Linked DNA regions of Mytilus edulis. The protein of the gene in region 2 interacts with the protein of the main gene of each other region in a pairwise test. Links are inferred from orthologs where the notes say so. Each region holds a gene or a part of one and is shown on either strand. Other genes may lie near its edges.

Evidence for each region.
Region 1: the proteins of protein kinase C iota type-like (region 2) and partitioning defective 6 homolog beta-like interact in a two-hybrid assay, tested with the Drosophila melanogaster proteins (2 studies listed by BioGRID). The link is inferred for Mytilus edulis from reciprocal best matches to the Drosophila melanogaster genes aPKC and par-6.

What each region holds. Positions count from the first base shown.
Region 1 is NC_092348.1:80,171,774-80,181,739, reverse strand, and holds the start of partitioning defective 6 homolog beta-like, read right to left. Parts: upstream 3,948-9,966; 5' UTR 3,826-3,947; coding exon 3,763-3,825; intron 1-3,762.
Region 2 is NC_092356.1:9,159,531-9,169,408, forward strand, and holds the start of protein kinase C iota type-like, read right to left. Parts: upstream 4,215-9,878; 5' UTR 4,021-4,214; coding exon 3,974-4,020; intron 647-3,973; coding exon 578-646; intron 1-577. UniProt on the Drosophila melanogaster protein: Serine/threonine protein kinase which is required for apico-basal cell polarity in the germ line as well as in epithelial and neural precursor cells, for epithelial planar cell polarity and for cell proliferation.

The DNA.
Region 1 (9,966 bases), on a different chromosome or scaffold from region 2:
TGATCAGCAACTGACATACAGCTTATAAGTTATGTCATTTTGTTAACTAGGATATCTCTGATTAACTTTAAGAGGGTGTCCATGGAAAAACCAGGCAGTGGATGGCACATGACATATTTTGTTTTCAAAATGTTTTCATCTATTTCATATCACAAATTAATTTTTTCTCCAAGTTAAATTTTGTTTTTTATTTACTGGAAGAAAGAAAAAATACATAGAAAGTACTGAAAATTCATTGAAAAGGGGAGATAACTCTTCATTTTGTACCAAATTTTGTTGCATTGTTAGTGAACTTTAAAATCATTTTCTGAGCCATCCACTGTTGATTCAAAAATATCTTTGACATATATATCCTTTGTATGACATAAACATTGCATTGGAACCAAAAATTCAGTGGGAAAAAAATTATGTTGTGCCACCCACATCATAAGATTTGCCTGATATTTACTTGGACAGCCTCTTTCAAAAACAACTCAACAGTCCAACAAACTATATATTATCCAAAACATTTACATTTCCATTACAAAAAGTGTTAGATTAGACATTAATGTTAACAAGCAGCTGCAACTGAATCAAAGCCTTAAAGGTTGTAAAAGCAATTGCTGCCATGTTAATGTTTTGGGAACTTTTATTTTTCATCCACATACAGTTGTATATATAATAATTAAACCTGACAGGAGTGTTGTCTAGTGAGAAGTAAGAAGGTTTTATATCAATAAAAGACTTTAGAAGAGAGTCATTTTTAATATGTTTTATATTTCACAATTTACAACACGTTTACCAGGCTAAAGTTCCAGTCAAATATCCATGTGCTGAAACATATAACTCAAAAAGAAATCATCATGAATTATCCCCTGGTACTGTTTGTAACTGGGCAGTAATTTCCGTTATTGGTCTAATTTTAACAATTTTCATAATTAATTTAAATTTACCCATTCAGTTAAAACATTTCAACTTTCCAAATGTAAATGTTGAAAAACAGGAAAGAAATAAAACATCTTACAAGACATAAACATGGATAAATTCTTAGTTTTTAATTAGGTCTTTCCACCTTTCCGTGGAAAGACCTAGCCTATTGATTTTGTTCTGTCAGATTATTATTTTTTTTTTTTTCTTCCGCCTAAATTTTTTCTTGCGTATTGTTGATGTTTCAAAAGATGTCGCTTAGATATTTGGAATATGATATCGTATAGTTTATACGCTTTAAAAATTTTCAACCGCGTAACAAAATACTTTACGTTGTAAGAGTTATCTCCCCAAACACTGTTTTTCTTGTGGCCACTACTCCTTCGCAACCGTAAAAGATTACGACAAATTTATTTTACCAAATTGCTCGTTACATCTTCAGGATTAGTAGTTTAGTTTCGACCGAAGCTATCCGGAGACTCCATATGACAGTTATTCCCCCTCATGTATTTGATATAAGTGAAATGCATTTCTAACTGGTAAACCATAAGTAATAGAGACCTAGGGTCTTTTGATTTGAGATCCTTGGTCCAAAAAAATAAAATAAGGTCAAGGTCAAAGGTCAAGGTCATATTCTAAATTTTTATTTTGGCTTATTTTTACTTATTTTCAAAACCTTACAACATATCAACATCTTATTTTCACTAAATTGTTAGTTACGACATGCCGTTACTTATAAATTTTGGTTGACAGAGTGCGTAAACAATAAATAGGAGTTTTCGCCCATCTTATATTTAGAATTATGAGTAAAGTGATATAACTCATTAACCATATATAATAAAGACCTAGGGTCTTTTGATTTGAGATCCTTGGTTTATGACCTTGAAATTGAGATCAAGGTCATAGGTAATTTGCACATTCTAGATTTGGCCTTTGCTTTAAATTCATATTTATACATTATAAAGCCATAGGAACTGACATTTTAGATTGATTTTTAATATTTTGATAATAAAATAGATCTTAACTTGTGGAAAGACCTTCAATTGTTCTTTGAACAATTGGTTTTTAATTCTAAATATTTTTCTTTTTTAAAACAATTTTTTATAGAAAAACAAGTACCAAGCTTCCCTTTTTCAGAGTTAATTGTTTGATACTTCAGTTTATTCCAAAATGATTTAAACTTTTACATAGTTTATTTTTAACATACTGACATAAAGAACCAATTGATTGGTCAAAATTTGGTATTTCAATCTCTCTCTGAATATAATCTACATGTATACTAGAATACCATGTATTTACATTAGAACTATGTAACTGTTTACAACATATAATTGCATCAAATAATAATCCTTCTGTCAAACGTTCCAGTCTATGACAATATTTTACAATTGATAAAATTATAGTAAAATACATAGGAAATCTATGGTATATTGGTATGTGTATATGTAATATGAAATTTGTTTACAAAATATCAGTGTTGTTTGTTTACATATTCATCCCAACAAAGAAAATATTCATGTACATCATACACGTCATATGCACAGATCTAGAGGAACCCAAAAAATCTGTAAAGTTTAGGTAGTAAGTATACAGTGCAACATTATCATATTGAGTTTAAAGAAGACTTATCAATGATGCTCCAATAAGAAAAGTTTAAAGAGGGTAGGAATGTCCTGTCCCTTCAGGCATCAAACAGTAATTTTTAGCTTGTTTCATTAAAATATTTTCATTGTGATTTGTTCCAGGTGTCAACTAATTATTGTTACCTTTAATTTGGAAAGAAAACAAAAAAATAAGGTGATTTGTCAAAATCAGCTAAAATTTGTTTATAATCTTGAAGAAAGTATAAAAAAGAAGATGTGGTATGATTGCCGATGATTCACTATTCACAAGAGACCAAATGACACAATTAACAGCTATAGATCACCATACATCCTTCAACAATGAGCCAAGCCCATACCGCATAATCAGTGTAAATTTTATGTATAGTCAAATACATGCACCAAAAATTACCCATAACCATGTTAACATCATTTTGCAAGATTTTCTACCATCTTTCATCTTGAACTTACCCCCATTATGGCCCTCTTTTTTTTTTTAAAGAAGATAATTAAATCAAAACAAGATCTTGAAGCATTGTTTTAAAACTATTAAAAAGTTTCTAGACTGAAAATACCATACAGATACATATGCAGCGCCCTACAACTTGCTCAAAATAGTCATAAAAAAATGCAAAAATTAGCACTTGTTTGCTAAATTTTATTTACTCTAAAAAAAAAAATACTAAAAATAAATATAATGCTTCTATACAGATACTTGTGCAGCGCCCTGCAACTTGCTCAAAATAGTCATAAAAAAAATGCAAAAATTAGCACTTTGCTAAATTTTATTTACTCTAAAAAAAAAAAAATACTGAAAATTAATATAATGCTTCTTTACTATTATAAACAGTATCAATGAGATCTTTCAACACTAAGTCCCATTTTTTCTATGCTATGTGCAATCCCCCCACCCCTACCATTATCTTTTATTTTGATGAAATAGTTGTTAATACATAAAATTTGTCAGGATAAGAAAATATGTAAATAATGACTCATTGTGTGACATGTGTATTCAAGCATGCAAATTTCGCAAATGACCTGTCATAAAAGGGTGTATTTTTAGAAAATTTTAGTGTTAAAATTTTCCTATTCTCCATTCCCTATAAATGTAAAATAGAACTGCAAATGTTCGGCAAGAAATAACCCGAAATCGTCATAACGCTTTTTTGGTCGAAGTAATAAAATTGTTACCTGGATGAAGCTGTTGAACAGGTGTGACCCAGGTCATAACGAAATACCCAAAACTAAAAGTTACCTTGGATTTGACTTCTAACAAACTGTATCCTTGATGCAAAAAAGTCTTCGATGAACGTGACATGATGAAAATACAGCCCAAAGGGCTTTTTAATACTTTTTATTTTCTATTTCCACACCGTTGGTGTTATGTTGTTTATGAATGAACATTTACCTCTGACGTCACAAATTGTGTAGTATAATCTCGAAACAAAACGACAGGTGCGTGTTTTAGACAGTAGCTTTTACATTAACAATATGCAGTGGGTTTTTTTCTGCAAACTGCAAAGTCTATGTATTTTTCATTGTTTGTTTGACTTATTTATAGAAATATTCAAGTATGTTTAATCACAATACAACATGTACAAGCATTTCTGAAGTACACCAAGGCGGGAACCTTTGAAATAATAAAAGATTCATATAATAAGTTATGAGTCTTTTGTAGACGAAACGCGCGTCTTGCGCATGTATTTACAAAATTTAGTCCTGGTATCTATGATGAGTTAATTAACTATGTACAACTTGAATCGGCCGTTGAAATAATTAGAGACAGACCTGTCATGCAGTATATATAAGAATGATAAAATGATATAAAAATGAGACATATTACTAGTATAAATACAATTTTATAATATCTCTGTTTTAAAATGTAGAGAAAACTGACAATCGGACACAGGCACTTGTTTTCTATCCATGGCAAGATCTAGACTACTATCGATATATAGGGATAGTAGATCTTGCCATGGATAGAAAAGGGATAGTAAATCTTGCCATGGATAGAAAAGGGATAGTAAATCTTGCCATGGATAGAAAAGGGATAGTAGATCTTGCCATGGATAGAGAGCAAGTATATAGGCATCGTAGATCTTGCCATGGATAGAAAACAAGTGCCTGTGGGTATGGGCTTTATTTATTGTTGAAAGTCGTAAGATGACATATATAGTTGACATAGTTGTTATTTTCAGTTTTTCATTTTGTCTCTTGTGAAGTTTTGTCAGGCTTATTTACAATGCTTGATCATCTGTTCATTTTTAGGTCGGTAGTAAGAGCTATTTCAAGCTCATATTTATTGTTGACTGTACCAGAGACATATATACACATGTGTATATATGTCTCTGACTGTACATATGTGCCGATTCTAAATGAAATTTATTCATTGACTTTCCATATTAAAATAATAAAACAAAGTCATCGATGAAGCTATGATAATACAAGATCACAAAAATATTTTGATACAGTTGATCTGACATTCTATATTTATGGCAGACGATTACAGAACTAGAGAAGATGGCTGGATAACAAACATGCTTACAAAATTAGAGCTACAGGAATTACAACTGAAACGCACAAGCCAAACACTTATATTTTTGTACAAGGTGGTTGAGGTGCTGGTTCCTGCTATTGATCCAGACGACTTCCTCAAATTAGGAAGACCAAGAAGAACCATCACATGCAGCTAAAAAGTTTAACAATTATCAAGCAAATAACTTAGTTGAAAAACAAGTGAGAAACAATACTAGGTGTTTTGACATTCCTACCAGTAAAACACCGCAACATTCAAATTCATCCTTCAGTGTGTCCACAACAATAAATTGGAACCACCTAGAAGACACTATTGTGCGCGCAACAAGTGTAGAGAGCTTTAAAGCTGCCTTCGCGAAACGTCAGTAAATCGACGGCGCCCAAACTAATTAAAATATTGATCTCTGATTTCGGTATCATGACTACATCATGTACATATACCCAATCTAATTAAAATATTGATCTCTGATTTCGTTATACTGCATATATAACGAAATCAGAGATCAATATGATCTTAATAAAATTGGACGGCGCCTTCCCTCCCGTTGTATTTTAAAAGCCAGATTTGGTAACTATACGACATATCCACGACAGATACAGATACAGATATGACTAGAAAAGTTAGAAAGTAATGTTTATGTCGTTTTAATATAATCGTTAAAAAAATATCCCCACATTTGGACAAAATTGGGTAGATACTTTGTTCTGTTCAAACCGAAAATTTGCAAAAGTTGGGATTTTTCACGTGGCAATGTTCAGTCAAAGTAGGCCGCTGCAATTACCATCCAAGACAATTCCAGCTCATGCATGCACTGTAATTGTGTAAAATAATAAGGAAACATTGGTCATGACTCAATAATATCTTACAAAAAGTGAACACAACACTTTTAAAAAGTTCCTTTGTAGGCCGAGGCATAGTCGAAATCGATCAAAAATTAAACTCTAGTAAAATATTATACACTATATAGCGGTTTTAGTTCTATGACATTTTGATACCGCATGCCCAGTATGTAAAAAGTAAGTTATATTTAGTAATTTTAAATAATGAATTATTATAGATATGAAAACAGAACTTCCTTAGATTTTAAATAATGTATTAAATAGTTTCTTTTTAAAAATGTAAATGTTTAAATTATGCTATTGGAGGAATACTAACATGGTCTAGACTTTGATTGTAAATTACTTTTAATATATATATTAAGTTAGTATAAAACCTGTCAAAGTCATCAAGATTCATTGTTTGGCTTTTGTACTGGAAGGTAATTAGTAAAAAAAAAAAAAAAGGATTTTTATTTAAAGAACAACTTGAATACACCAAATTATCTTACAGCCGTTTTACATGTGTTCCGCGTGCTCTGCCGTGTTGATTGTTTATCAATGTCACGTTTTGGTATCAAACTCGAAAGTTATTAAGCTTGCTATCAACAATTACTGTTTAACATAATCATTTGTTGAGATATAGATTCGTCAGTAATAAATGTAAAAAAAAACGTATACTCATGCATTGGTTCAATAATTTCAATAGCATAGTAATTTTAACTGAAAGAAAATCGTTTAATATGCGTAAATCTTTATTCTCGTAAACCAAAGTACAATGGTATAGAGACATATACAAATAAATTAACATACATAGTATGAATTTAAAATACAAATGTAAAGTAGAGACATACAGTGGTTACCCAGGAGATCAGTCTAGGCATTCAGTAATAATTATCCTTATAAACTCGCACTTTTAATGACTTTTACGTGATGTTCATATTTCAATAAATTTGATAAATGACCTTTATTTAAGTTGTAAAAGTAATGGACGAATCGTTACAGGAAAATCAGACAAGACGATTCCGTGCTAAGAAGACAGAAGATCATGGCACAATACAAAATGATACCAGAGATTCTAGAGATAGAAATGGAAATTCCTCATTTGTAAAAGTTTTGGCAGAGAACTTCTTATACAACTGACAACAAATAAATGCATGCACTAAATTACAAAGACTTCACAGTAAAACAGAAGATGCACAAACTATTAGATTCTAAATATTCAGTGAAAGTTCCTAATAGTTGGAATAATGGAGAAATATAACAATGAATCCATTGTACAATTTTTTTTCGAGAATGACCTACAACGGATATACGGTCGAATGCTCTAGATCAAAAGGTTAGAAAGCCCAAATTAGGCTATACACAATAAATAATAAAAAAACAAAAACGCTTGGGAGCATCAAAACCCAAATTCAAAAACATGTCTATTGACCTCTAGATGTCTTTGCTTTTTTTCCGTTTCGTTTGGTTGCCATCTCATTGACGTACGCGTAAACCATATCGCGAGAAATTTCACAACAGCAAAAAACAATTTTGATAATGCCATGATTATTTGAAAAATAAAAGTTCAATACTATTTTTCTATATGTGAGAGGAGAAGATAGCGACAGAAACTTAACAGCAATGGGATAAACTGTTATAGTAACGCAGAATACGTCACGGTTATAAAAATAACAATACTGAAAAAACACAGAACAGATAGGGGCACATGTACAGATTACAGAAGACAAAGACTTTAAGTACGTCAATCAAGACAAGATAGCTGATCTTCTAATGGTTTGCAAATTACCGTTTGATAGTGTTCATTCATTTATTTCAGTTAGTTAAAAAGACAGAATGTACTCCAGTCTAAGTTCAATATCTGCCGTTTCTTTACAATTCTTGAGACTTAAAATAGTCTCCATTTACAATGTTGATTATATAAAATATTCATCTCCATATCCCCACTGAGGTGTGTAAACAAATTAAGCATTTATAAGCTAGCAAAATTATACACAGCTATGCAATTATTTTAGGCAACTCTCAGTAATCTAAATGAATAATTTTATATAGATATAAGCCTGAAGATGTGGTATGAGTGCCAATGAGACAACTCTCCACCAGAGACATATGTACACTATGTGTATAACATGACAGTACCCAAATTGCACCTATTTTGACAGTTTTTTCATCTACGTTTTTTTATTATAAAGAAAAAAATGTCCATTTTGTGTTTATTTTGTAGCTGTATCCTTCTTTATTATGGAGGTACACCAATTTGATTTTTAATCCATATGGAATCTTAGAAAAATTGGTCTAAACTGACCTCCAAATCATCAATGATTCTGAAATAAGTAGTACCCAAATTGCATCCATGCTTAAATTTGCATTGTCAAAAGTCTAATAACAGAGCTTTTGATTAAATTCTTCAAATATTTTGAACAATTGGATATTAGTCCATGCTTACTCTAAACAAAAAAATTTAAATGGATACTTGTAACATATTGTATTTGGTCATTTTAAAAAGATGACGTTTTGATGACGTTGCATGGCAACGTTTCAGTACATTTTGCTTTTTCAGTAAACACTTCATTTATTGATAAATACTGTGAACGTTTTGTAAAAATCTAAATATTTTCACCTATATTGAAAGATGTGCATAGTGTCAAATCATAAAAATACAAAGTGTTTAGTCTCTAGGAAATCTTGTAAGATGTCCGCTGCTACTTTTGCTAAATAATTGCAATTTGGGTACTCTGTGCAATTTGGGTACCGTTACGTAATATGTCTCTGTCTCCACCAAGTCAAATTTGTGAAAAGTAAACCATGTTCGTATCTTCAGAGATCTTCAACAGGTAGTCAAAAAGCTGTAAACAAAGACTTTATTTTTAAAGAGATCATTCACAGTTAGCAAAACATGAGACTACCATTACACAGCCGTCTCTAATTCCTAGTCATCGTCGGGAGCGTCTTCTTTGTGTATTTTGAGCGTATTTTTAACCAAGAGACTTGAGTTGTAAAAAAAGAGAGAGACGGAGTTATTTCTAAAGCCGGATATTTCATGCTATTTCCGACATTGTCCGAATCTTATAATCTCCTTTCTCCAAAACACTCCACGAAATCCAAAATGCCAAGAAAAAAACCAGCGCATCTCAAACCTTGGCTGATCGACGCTATACTTATGAATACGGAACCAACTAAGACAAATTCAGTCAAAGTTCTTAAGGTAATTTTGTTGAAGAGCATAGTCTAGAACAAAATGAAAGTATTTCTGATGAGTGATCATGACAAAATAATTTGCTTCACCATGCCAGTACCTTTTCAACTATAATTTCTGAACTTTATTCACATTATTTGTCTGTTTTAAACAATAACAAACCAGATTTCTTTTAATTCTTAAGTTGGCAGTTTTCCTGTAAAAGGTTGTGGTTCTCAATGGGTACTCTGGCTTCCTCTACCAAAAGAAAGACTATATAAATTTCCTTCTGTTCAAACTTCAAAAAATGAAACATCTTTAAGATAGAATTTATAGTTATCTCATGATCATACCATTGCAAACTCGTACCAATGTCTGTTTGTACTACTAAAAGCAAACTGGTACCAATGCAAACTGGTACCACTGCTAACTTCTTATTTTCCCTTAGTAAATACACCTAATCGCTATTTATTCCATTCAGGATAAGTTCTAAAATTACACAACTTTTTCATCCAGTTGAAGCTAGCTGGGAACCTGCTTAAACAACTCACCATGCATGATACTTTTTAATGAGACCTGTTTAAACTACCGTAAATTATACTAAATACTTCAAACAAAATATTTTTTTACTTTAATTTTAATTTCGAAAAGTGGATCATACTCTATCAAAGTTTCTTGATGATCGCTTTCTAAAGTTTTTCCTCCCTCAGCTCACTACTGATGACCTCTATATATATTCGGCGGCCTGACCCAAACAGGAAGTTGTATAAACTACTGTTTTTCCCGGATTGCAATTTTATGCTGTGGACTAAATAGCGATGAGGTGTATTGGATAAAGGAAACCGTGGCAGATTATCTTTGTTGTCTCCCTTGGACAGTTCCTTTATTAAACTTTTACTGACAACTATTTGATTTAATTTTAAACCATTA
Region 2 (9,878 bases):
ATATCCTAGTTATTTATTGTATCACTGAATAGAATTTACATGATCATGATCATAGGGAATTCGATAGCTAACATAAAATGATTTACTAGTACTTCATTCTTTTTGTAATCATGGTAATAGATTTGAAGGCAGTCTCCATCTGAAGTTATCCAGGTTAGGGGAAGGGTTTGAATCCCGCTAACATGTTTAACCCCGCCATATTCTGTACATTGCTGTATGTACTTGTATGCGCCTGTCCCAAGTAAGAAACCTGTAATTCAGTGGTTGTGGTTTGTTTTTGTGTTTCATATTTGTTTTTCGTTCATTTTTTGTACATAAAAAAGGCTGCTAGTTTTCTCATTTAAATTATTTTACATTGTCATTTCAGGTCCATTTATCATGATAGCTGACTATGTGGTATGGGCTTTGCTCATTGTTGAAGGCTGTACGGTGACCTATAACTGTCAATTTCTGTGTCATGTTGGTCTCTTGAGGAGAGTTGTCTCATTTTTTAAATTTACTTAGATTTTTATATAGTTGTTGGAATGCTGTATATATGTCTTATAGAAATAATCCCTTATCCAATAGGATTACTTACCCACTATATCCAACCTTCATACGTATTCCATTATCATCATCCATTCTTTCTTGTGTTGGCATGATTCTTCTAAAAAAATAAAAATTGATAATATACTATACACATACATGTTTACTGTGAATTCATTTATTTTTGTTGAACACCAATTTTTGTGGGTTTCCTGGTTACAGGTGAACCACAAATTCAAATGTTACACGAATAACATATTTGCAATACACTTTATATATACAGAGATTGACAAAACCACTAAACATTCTTAAATTAAATATCTACAAAAATAGAACTTTTCAGCAATCCACAAGAATTTATACCCACGAAAATAAATGAATCCAAAGTGTGTGTACAGTAATACAGTATGTACGAATATTATTGGTACATATATGTCATGTATGTATTATCTTTTATTAACTGAGTGTCCTTGTTATGACATGTCAATCATTTTTATCCTACATGTACATCCTGTACTGAAGAGCTTACCTCATGTACATGTATCTCATTGATAAGAATACAAGTTTTTTATCATTGCATGAGGAGTCTAAACTAAAACTTTTATCTTATTCCAGATAATAAGAGGGATCTTTCCAAACTTATAAAACTTTTGTAAATATTTTCTATTTTGTTGTTTTGATGACATAGAAAGAAGATGTGGTATGATTGCCAATGAGACAACTATCCACAATAGACCAAAATGACACAGACATTAACAACTATAGGTCACCATACGGCCTTCAACAATGAGCAAAGCCCATACCGCATAGTCAGCTATAAAAGGCCCTGAAATGATAAGACCATGTAAAACAATGTTGATTGAATACCACATACCCGTAGCTAGGGGGGTTGGAAAAACCCCCTTGAAAACAAATAAGCACTGTTAAAGTCAACGTTCTGTTCGAATTGTGACTGTTAAAGTCGAGTTTGTGAGTCCAAATACCCCCCCCCTGGAAATTCCTGGCTACGAGCCTGTACCATACTACATGTACACTGTCGTTTAAACAAATAAATGCATTTGTAATTGATATTCAATATTAGTTTCTTTTCATAACATTTTTCAGACCATTTTACAATTTAGAGCTTATATTATTGTTGAAAATGGTGTTAATCATGTTTATATTACTTCAACATTCAATATTTGATAAATCCATTTAATGATAAAATTTAATCAATAAGTGGTTAATCAAAAATTCAAACATGGGTTTAAGAAAGCTTTTTGTTTTAATCAAGAATGTTAAGTATTTACAAACATTCAATGTCCCTTGTCAAGTGTCAACAATGTATTGAAGAAGTGGAAATCACAATCATTATTTTCTTTAAAAATATCAGCATGACCAGTAAAAGAGCTCCTGGACAATATGACTAACAAACTAAAATCGAGCTCCTTCCTTGTGTTGTGGTTCTTAGCTGTCTATGTGTTTCATCAAATTTAAATGAGACAAATTTGACCATATGTTGACCTGGAGGGGAAAAACCCAGACCAGACGGGCATATTAAATTATAATACTGGTACATTTTTGTACCTTTGATAACTATTTACACCACTGGGTCGATGCCACTGCTGGTGGACGTTACATCCCTGAGGGTATCACCAGCCCACTAGTCAGGCTCAGCACTTTGGTGTTGACATTAATATCAATGATATGGTCATTTTTATAAATTTCCTGTTAGAAAACTTTGAATTTTTAGAAAAACTAAGGATGTTCTTACCCCAGGAATAGATTACCTTAGAGCTCTGTATTTGGCACAACCTTTTTTTGTAGAATTTTGGGTACTCAATGCTCTTTAACTTTTTACTTGTTGGGCTTTATTACTATTTTGATCTGAATGTCAGTGATGAGTCTTATGTAGACGAAATGCGTGTTTGGTTATTAAATTATTATCCTGGTACCTTTGATAATTAATTACACATTTAATTGACAATCTTTTATGCATGGCCTAAGAATTAATTCTTCACAGTCTCCTGCTTGAAAACCAATTTGTGATCTACATTAAGATACATGTGGCCCTTTACATTATAGTGCATTTGTAAAAAAATAATCATTGTAGCGCTGCAAGCAAACAGTCACTTCTCTTCAAAACTCAACATTTCTCCCTATCAATTACATAAAGGACAAGTCACTTCTCCCAATCATTTTTAGATGACGAAGTACTGTAGTGTGAGCTTTTTTTCATAAGAACATTATTAATAAAAATATGATTCCTTGTTGATTCAACTGAATGTTACATTCTATAGAGTTTATTTCTTTTTACATTTTGAAAGATCATATTATTTTAATGATGTGGTGACATGCCATGTTTGATGACCAACCTTGAACAATCATCAAATTATGGACATGATGAATTACAAAACCATTCTTCTTTTTGTAATTTCTTTTGAACTCAATTTAAATATTTATTTTACTATTTAAAAAAAAACATTTGTAATTGCATTTTTCAAAATTTAAGGTTCATGTGGACCCTATGGCTAAAATGGCCGTATTTTCACCTCAAAATTTTCTCTGAGTACAGGCAAACTTGTGCATCTAAAAAAGTTTTAAGGCATAGCATGCCCTAGATAAATAGAATTCAAATGCATTGTATGATTGAGAAAATTTATAACTTAACTGGATTTTGCTGTACACTTTTTTTCGTCTCTGCAGAAGATGATAAAATTAACAAACAGTTGAGTTTACCTTGATATGGTCCACTCAGGTACACAGTTTAAATAACCAATTATTGTCAGGTATCTATTGTCCATCTAATGTCCATGTCAATTAAAAATGCTCACTTTAATTTTTACCTGTGGGGAAGTTCTCAAACCTGTTTCCCAACTTAGTTTATTTTGGCACCTTCTGGAGGAATGAAAAAAGTGCACGGCAAAATCCTGGTAAGTTTTCATTTATCTAGGGCATGCTATGCCTGAAATGTTTTACAGATGCGCAGGTTTGTCTGTACTCAGAGTAAATTTTGAGGTGAAAATACGGCCATTTTAGCCATAGGGTCCACATGAACCTTAAGACTATACATTCATCATATTGATGTTTGAAAATATTGTGTCATTTTATTCATATTTCAGTTTCATACTACATTTATCTTAATCATGTTAATAAATGAAATTGGCTCAGCACCCTTTAGTATTGCTGGATATAAGCTGAGACTACTATAGTGTTAAAGTAGTCTCAGATATAATGGTAAATACAAAATGTAGCAAAAAGGAGGGATACTTGTAACTTATCATTTTGGAAACTATTTCCAAAGCTATCTCTTTTAGCATTCTGTGATACTTGTTCACCATTTGAAATCATACAAGGATCATTTTAGCTGAGTGGTATCAACCAATGTGCTATAGAAAGCCAACGTCTTTGATATGCTTGATAAGGTGTCTAATTTTGACAGGTGCCCAACCTGTTTTAGTGTTTGTACCTCCATAAACAACTCGGATATTTTTGTGGTCTCTTAACACAAAACATCCACCCACTTGCAACAAGGAAACAAGAACCAACTTTAACACCATTTCATTCTTTAGGGAACTTATAAAGAACGATAGACATCAAAATATGAGACTTTTTGTCGGTCGACCAGCGCCGGAACATCAGGTGTGTCCCTTTGGTCCCCGGAAAGAAAGTGGCCGACCAACTTCATCTCGACCGAATTCTGTTCACGGTATCAACACTTTTAAATGAATAACATCAGTAAGAATAATAAGAAATACATGTTTGTATATATTTACCTTTAACTTACTTCTAAATGAAAACAGAGTTTCAGTTTTTAAAGTCCGTCCATGTTTACAAAGAAACCGGAAATCACGTGACTTGTCGTTTTTTAAAGGTATTTCCCAATTTTGAATACCATATGATCCTATATGCTTTCTATCTCATGCTTATTGAAATGTTTTATTTGAGATATATTTTTTTGAGTTGAGATAAAGGTGCTATTAGAAGTATTGATTTGAACTGGCAAAATATTGAAACATTTATGACCAAAAATGGACAACACATTTTTATTGGTTGACTCAGTTTTAGGATTCCCTAATATAGGTATAGTAAGATGCTACTACAGATTATACATGGTCCGGAGAAGGAAAATGAATTTCGATTGAACTTGACCGTCATTTTTTATTTTCTAGTTTACCTAATATATATTGTTTTAACATGTTTAATTAGAACGTTTTAATCACTGAGGTAAAAAAAAAAGAGTGCTTCGACTGTTGAAAACGGCATAGGACAAAAGTGGCACTCTAAAAATGTCCTATAATTTTTTACTAAAATCGATATATTTCAAAATATATTACCAAGTATTAAAGTTACCGTATGAGCGAGTTTTATAAAATATATACAATATTAAATATGTACAAATGTCTGAAGTTTTATTGTTTTATTTGACCGTATTTTTTGGTTTCATTATTTAATGGGTTAAACACAATTAATTGCAGCTGCTTATGATTTTAATCAAGACTTGGTTTTAAAAGAAAATATAGCAAACCGTGGCTTTCAAGGGATTTTTTTACTCTGTGTTCACCTCGACATAAAATTAAAATGAGCATGAATAATATCATGGCCAAATAAAAATTAAACTTTAAACATGTCTAAATCTTACTCATTTTTACTGTATTCATGTAGTTATTTGGTATCTTTTTTTTTTTTTTTAAATATTTGAGTTTAGTTGAAATGATAGGACATTTATTTTAGTGGGAACTCATTTTTGTCCAATGACTGTATGCTGAGTCGACTGTACTGACATCAGCAACACGACAAATGCCACATGTGGAGCAGTATATTCTTACCCTTCCGAAGCACCTGTAATCACTGCATGGTATAGTTTTCAGTGGGGCAAGTTCGTGTTGCCCCGATACTCTACGTTTTCTTCCGTTAGTCAATAAAGGATTATTTATCCCGCATCAGGGCCGTCAAATTCTGATTGCAGGACTACTTTACATTGTGTATTTACATTTTTTTTAATAGATGTCGGTTCGATCGGTGGAGTTTAAAAAAAAAACATGATGAATGGATTCATTATATAGAAGAGGGACGAAAGATACCAAAGGGACAGCCAAACTCATAAATCTAAAACAAACTGACAACGCCATGGCTAAAAATGAAAAAGACAAACAAACAGCACACACGACACAACATAGAAAACTAAAGAATAAACAACACGAACCCCACCAAAAAACTAGGGGTGATCTCAGGTGCTCCGGAAGGGTAAGCAGATCCTGCTCCACATGCGGCACCCGTCGTGTTGCTTGTGTGATAACAAATCCGGTAAATAGTCTAATTCGGTAGGTCACATTCATGAAAGGGCAGGGGAATGTAGTTACGACGTAAGGAACATATCCGATATCATTTGTGAAACGGTTATTCCATAACGGTCAACCAACTCGTAATGGCGTCCGAAAAATTTACGAAGGGATGATTTCAACTTCACCATTTGGAACTCTTGGTTTACTAGCTTCCTTGTGAGCAGCAACCCTCTATCAAGAAAATCATGATAGGAAATGCAAGCACGGGAATATCGTATCAATTGGGAGATATATACCCCGTATGCAGGTGCTGCTGGAATGTTGCTACTTAGAAATGGAAAGTTCACAATTGGAAAGTTGAAATCATCTCTTTTGTCGTAAAGTTTTGTTTTCAACCGACCCTCATTGTCAATTTCTAGATGTAAGTCAAGATATGAGGCCGACTTAACTGTATCTGTAGTATCCTTTATCTCTAGCTCGATTGGATAGATGCGTTCCACATAGTCACCAAATTTTGAATTATTTAGTGAAAGAACATCATCTATATAGCGAAAAGTAGAGTTAAAGGATATTGCTAACTTCTTATCTTTCTTCATAAGAAGTTCCTGCATGAAGTCAGCCTCATAATAATAAAGAAACAAGTCGGCAAGTAAAGGGGCACAGTTTGTTCCCATTGGAATGCCGACAGTCTGTTGGAAAACACGTCCTCCGAACGTAACAAATATGTTGTCAATCAAGAAATCAAGCATCTTGATAATATCAGTTTCAGAGAATTTTTTGTTCGAATCAGAGTGATCCTTTACAAAGTAGGATTTATCCCTCCTTAAGACAAGATACTTGTATCTACGTTGGTCATTCTTTTTTACGAAGCAAAGCAATACCAACTCTTTCAATTTGTCTTTTAGTTTGGAATGTGGAATACTAGTGTACAGAGTAGAAAAGTCAAATGTTTTAATACTGTTACAAGATGAAAGAGAGTTAGATTGTATGTACTCTAAAAGATCTTTGGAATTTTTAAGTATCCACATCTGATTCACGCCCCCTCTAGAATAGGCAGTTTCACAATAACTTTGAAGCCCGTCTTTCATTGCTGATAAAATAGATGTTAATAAGTTAGAAAGAGGTTTTGTGGAGCACTTGGAAGACCCAGCAATATACCGTTGTTGTAAGGACACTTATGTAGTTTAGGTATCCAATACAGTGATGGCAGATCTAGTTCTTCATCTTTGGTTGAAATTCCAAAGAAACACAGAACAGACCTATGATTATTCAGGATTTCCTCTTTGGTAAGTGTCGTGGGGGTATATGTTGAGTTTCCAAGTGAATTGTCAATACCTAATTCGTTTATCAAGCAGTTAATGTAATGAGTTTTACATACAAAAACGATGTTGTTTGGGGCTTTATCTGCGGGGACAACAACATATTTGTCATGGAGGTAGGATAGGTGTTTTGCAACATTTGGGTCTTTAAAGATTGACGTAGCATGGGCATTGATAGACCCATTCAGTTTCTTAATTCTGTATCAACGACCCCACTGCCATAATCCATTCGGAAAGAGTGTCTACGTCTTCCTTCTCGCGCTTAGCCCATTGCCTGGCATAATCCTCAACTGAATCCATCAAAATTTTAAAGTTGTATTTCCAATTTATGGATTTAGGGTCACGATATTTCGGACCTTTCGATATCACATCGTAGAGAAGTGTTATTAACAATGTTGAGGTCACCGGTAATAACGTGACCAGCAGGATTATATGTGAATTGGGAACTAGCACAAGTGCAATCAGGAGGTTTAGACTTGAAGTCGTCAATATCGAGATCCTGCGAAACGTGTTTGTAATTTTAGTTGAAATAGGTTTGGTATAGGTATAAGAAATGATTGGTACAGACTGGTCTTTGAAATAAGGAGGTATTTTCGATTGAACTAATTTATGATGAAGGATATTGCCTAAGTTGACGCCATCGATACCTTTGTTGGCAAAGGAAAGATTAAGGAACGATCTTTTCTCTTTTTCATCTTTGCCAATGCGGACTGGCTTGAAAAGTCTGTGACTTGCAATATCCGAAATTATAGCTGTAATTTTGTATTGGTTTGAATGAGGGTTTGTAACAGTGGATTCCAAACATAAAATGAACAGAGAATGAAGTTTTGAAAGGGGTAATGAATATAAAGTTTCGTGCGAATGTGATGAATACCTAACGGCTTTTGTATAAATGGCAGCAAGTCATTAATAGATACATCATGCAGAGAAGGTGATGTATAATGACGATGACCATGACTGCGTCTACGTCGAGGAGTCGAGTTGAAAATATTCATCACATTCATAGAGTTACACGAAGGACTAGATAAAATACCTATACCATCAATTTTGTCATTGCAACCATAAGGTGTCGCAGTGTCCAATTGTCTAATCCAGTAGTCCTCTTTTTGTCTACGGAGAGTTCAGTGTTGAAAGATTAGGATTGTTAGAGCTATGGTATATCTTTTCGATAATGCGAACTGTCATGGAAACGATGGAATAACCGGGCTGATTGAAATGCTGGTATAGAATGTCGTTAGCATTGAGGCTTATGTCTGATCTATGACCGCACATACGTTTGTTTAGCCTTCATTTCGTTTCACCGACGTATACCAATCTGCAAAGGTTGCACTCTAATCCGTAGACGACATTTATCGATTTACAATTCAGATCATCGTAACTTCTGGTAACATATGACTTCTTGGTCAAATTGCTAGTGAATTCAGCATCTGTAATTAAAATTGCACAAGTTTTGCAGCCTTTGGTCTCACATTTCGAAATGCGACAGTGTTGTACTGTGTCATCAAAAACCAAAATGTCTTTAAGGAGAACTGAACATGGCTGTATATGTGTAATATTGCTGTTGTCACTAGGACGATGATCTGAATGAGTCATGTTTGTCATGTCTGGTGATGAGGGGACACCTGCCGTATCAGACGACACCGTGTCCATGGTGACGTCTGTTTCGGACCTTTTTATACTGGGCGACGTCCGAGCCAGTTTCCTGTTAGATCTTCGTAAATTCATGCAATGGTAGTATAGGTGTGCTGTTATGTCTATGGCTATTGCTCGATAGAAATTTGACCAGTCTCATTTTTGGAAATTTTCTTGATCTTCAATTGTGTCAATCCTGTTGTCAAGATTCCATTCTTTGATTGTTAAGGGGTAAACCATGTTTTGATACTCCACAGTGCTGTATTTTGGCTACATTATTTACATGGAGTGACTGTATTTTGGTCGTCTAGTATTCGATAGATAGTGTAGTATTGCAGTAACTCTGTTGTAACTTGATGTTACATACTGGTTTGGAATGTTATAAGACTAGCCTCATTACGGCTGTCGTCTTTTCCCCTAAGTTGGACAGTTTTAGTATGACTGTCACATGATGTTTATCCTAGGTCCTAATTCGGTATTGATAGATGCTTGGTACGAATCTCGCTGCATGGTGTTGTGCCATCTTTGTTCTATGTACATCCTTTTTCCAGTGGGTTCCCTTACCGAGCTGTTGTATTCAAGAGGTGGTTTAACTAGTACCAAATATACTTGGTCTTGATGTTTTGCGGACAATTGGGTAAATTTCGTTATATATAATAACGTTATAAGGTGGCCTTATTTACGTTTTTGTGATGTGTTGATTCTAGTTTAATTAGTTTATTGCCAAGTTCAACTCCAAGATATGTGGTTATGTTTACTTCTATTAAATAGAGTCTTGTAGGAGTAATATGGTTGATTGATTTTTCCATCGGATGTTGTGGGTTGCCTGGAATAAATAGCGCTTTTGGTGTCGAAATATACTTTACAGTCTAGAGACCACCTTTCTAACCCTGCCATTGTTTTATTTTTTTAGTATTTTGGTGTCTGTAGGAGATTAGATGTTTTTTTTATATTTATGCAACAACTAACTAATAAAGATTACAGATAGCTGAAATCACACGTTCTAATTATATTTTTATATACACAAACATCCTGGTATGATAGTAAATCTTTCGATATCTTTTTTAATTTCATAGATTAGATGTTGAAAATGAAAGCATTAGCCTTTCCATCCACACAACACGCAACCAGCATGGTT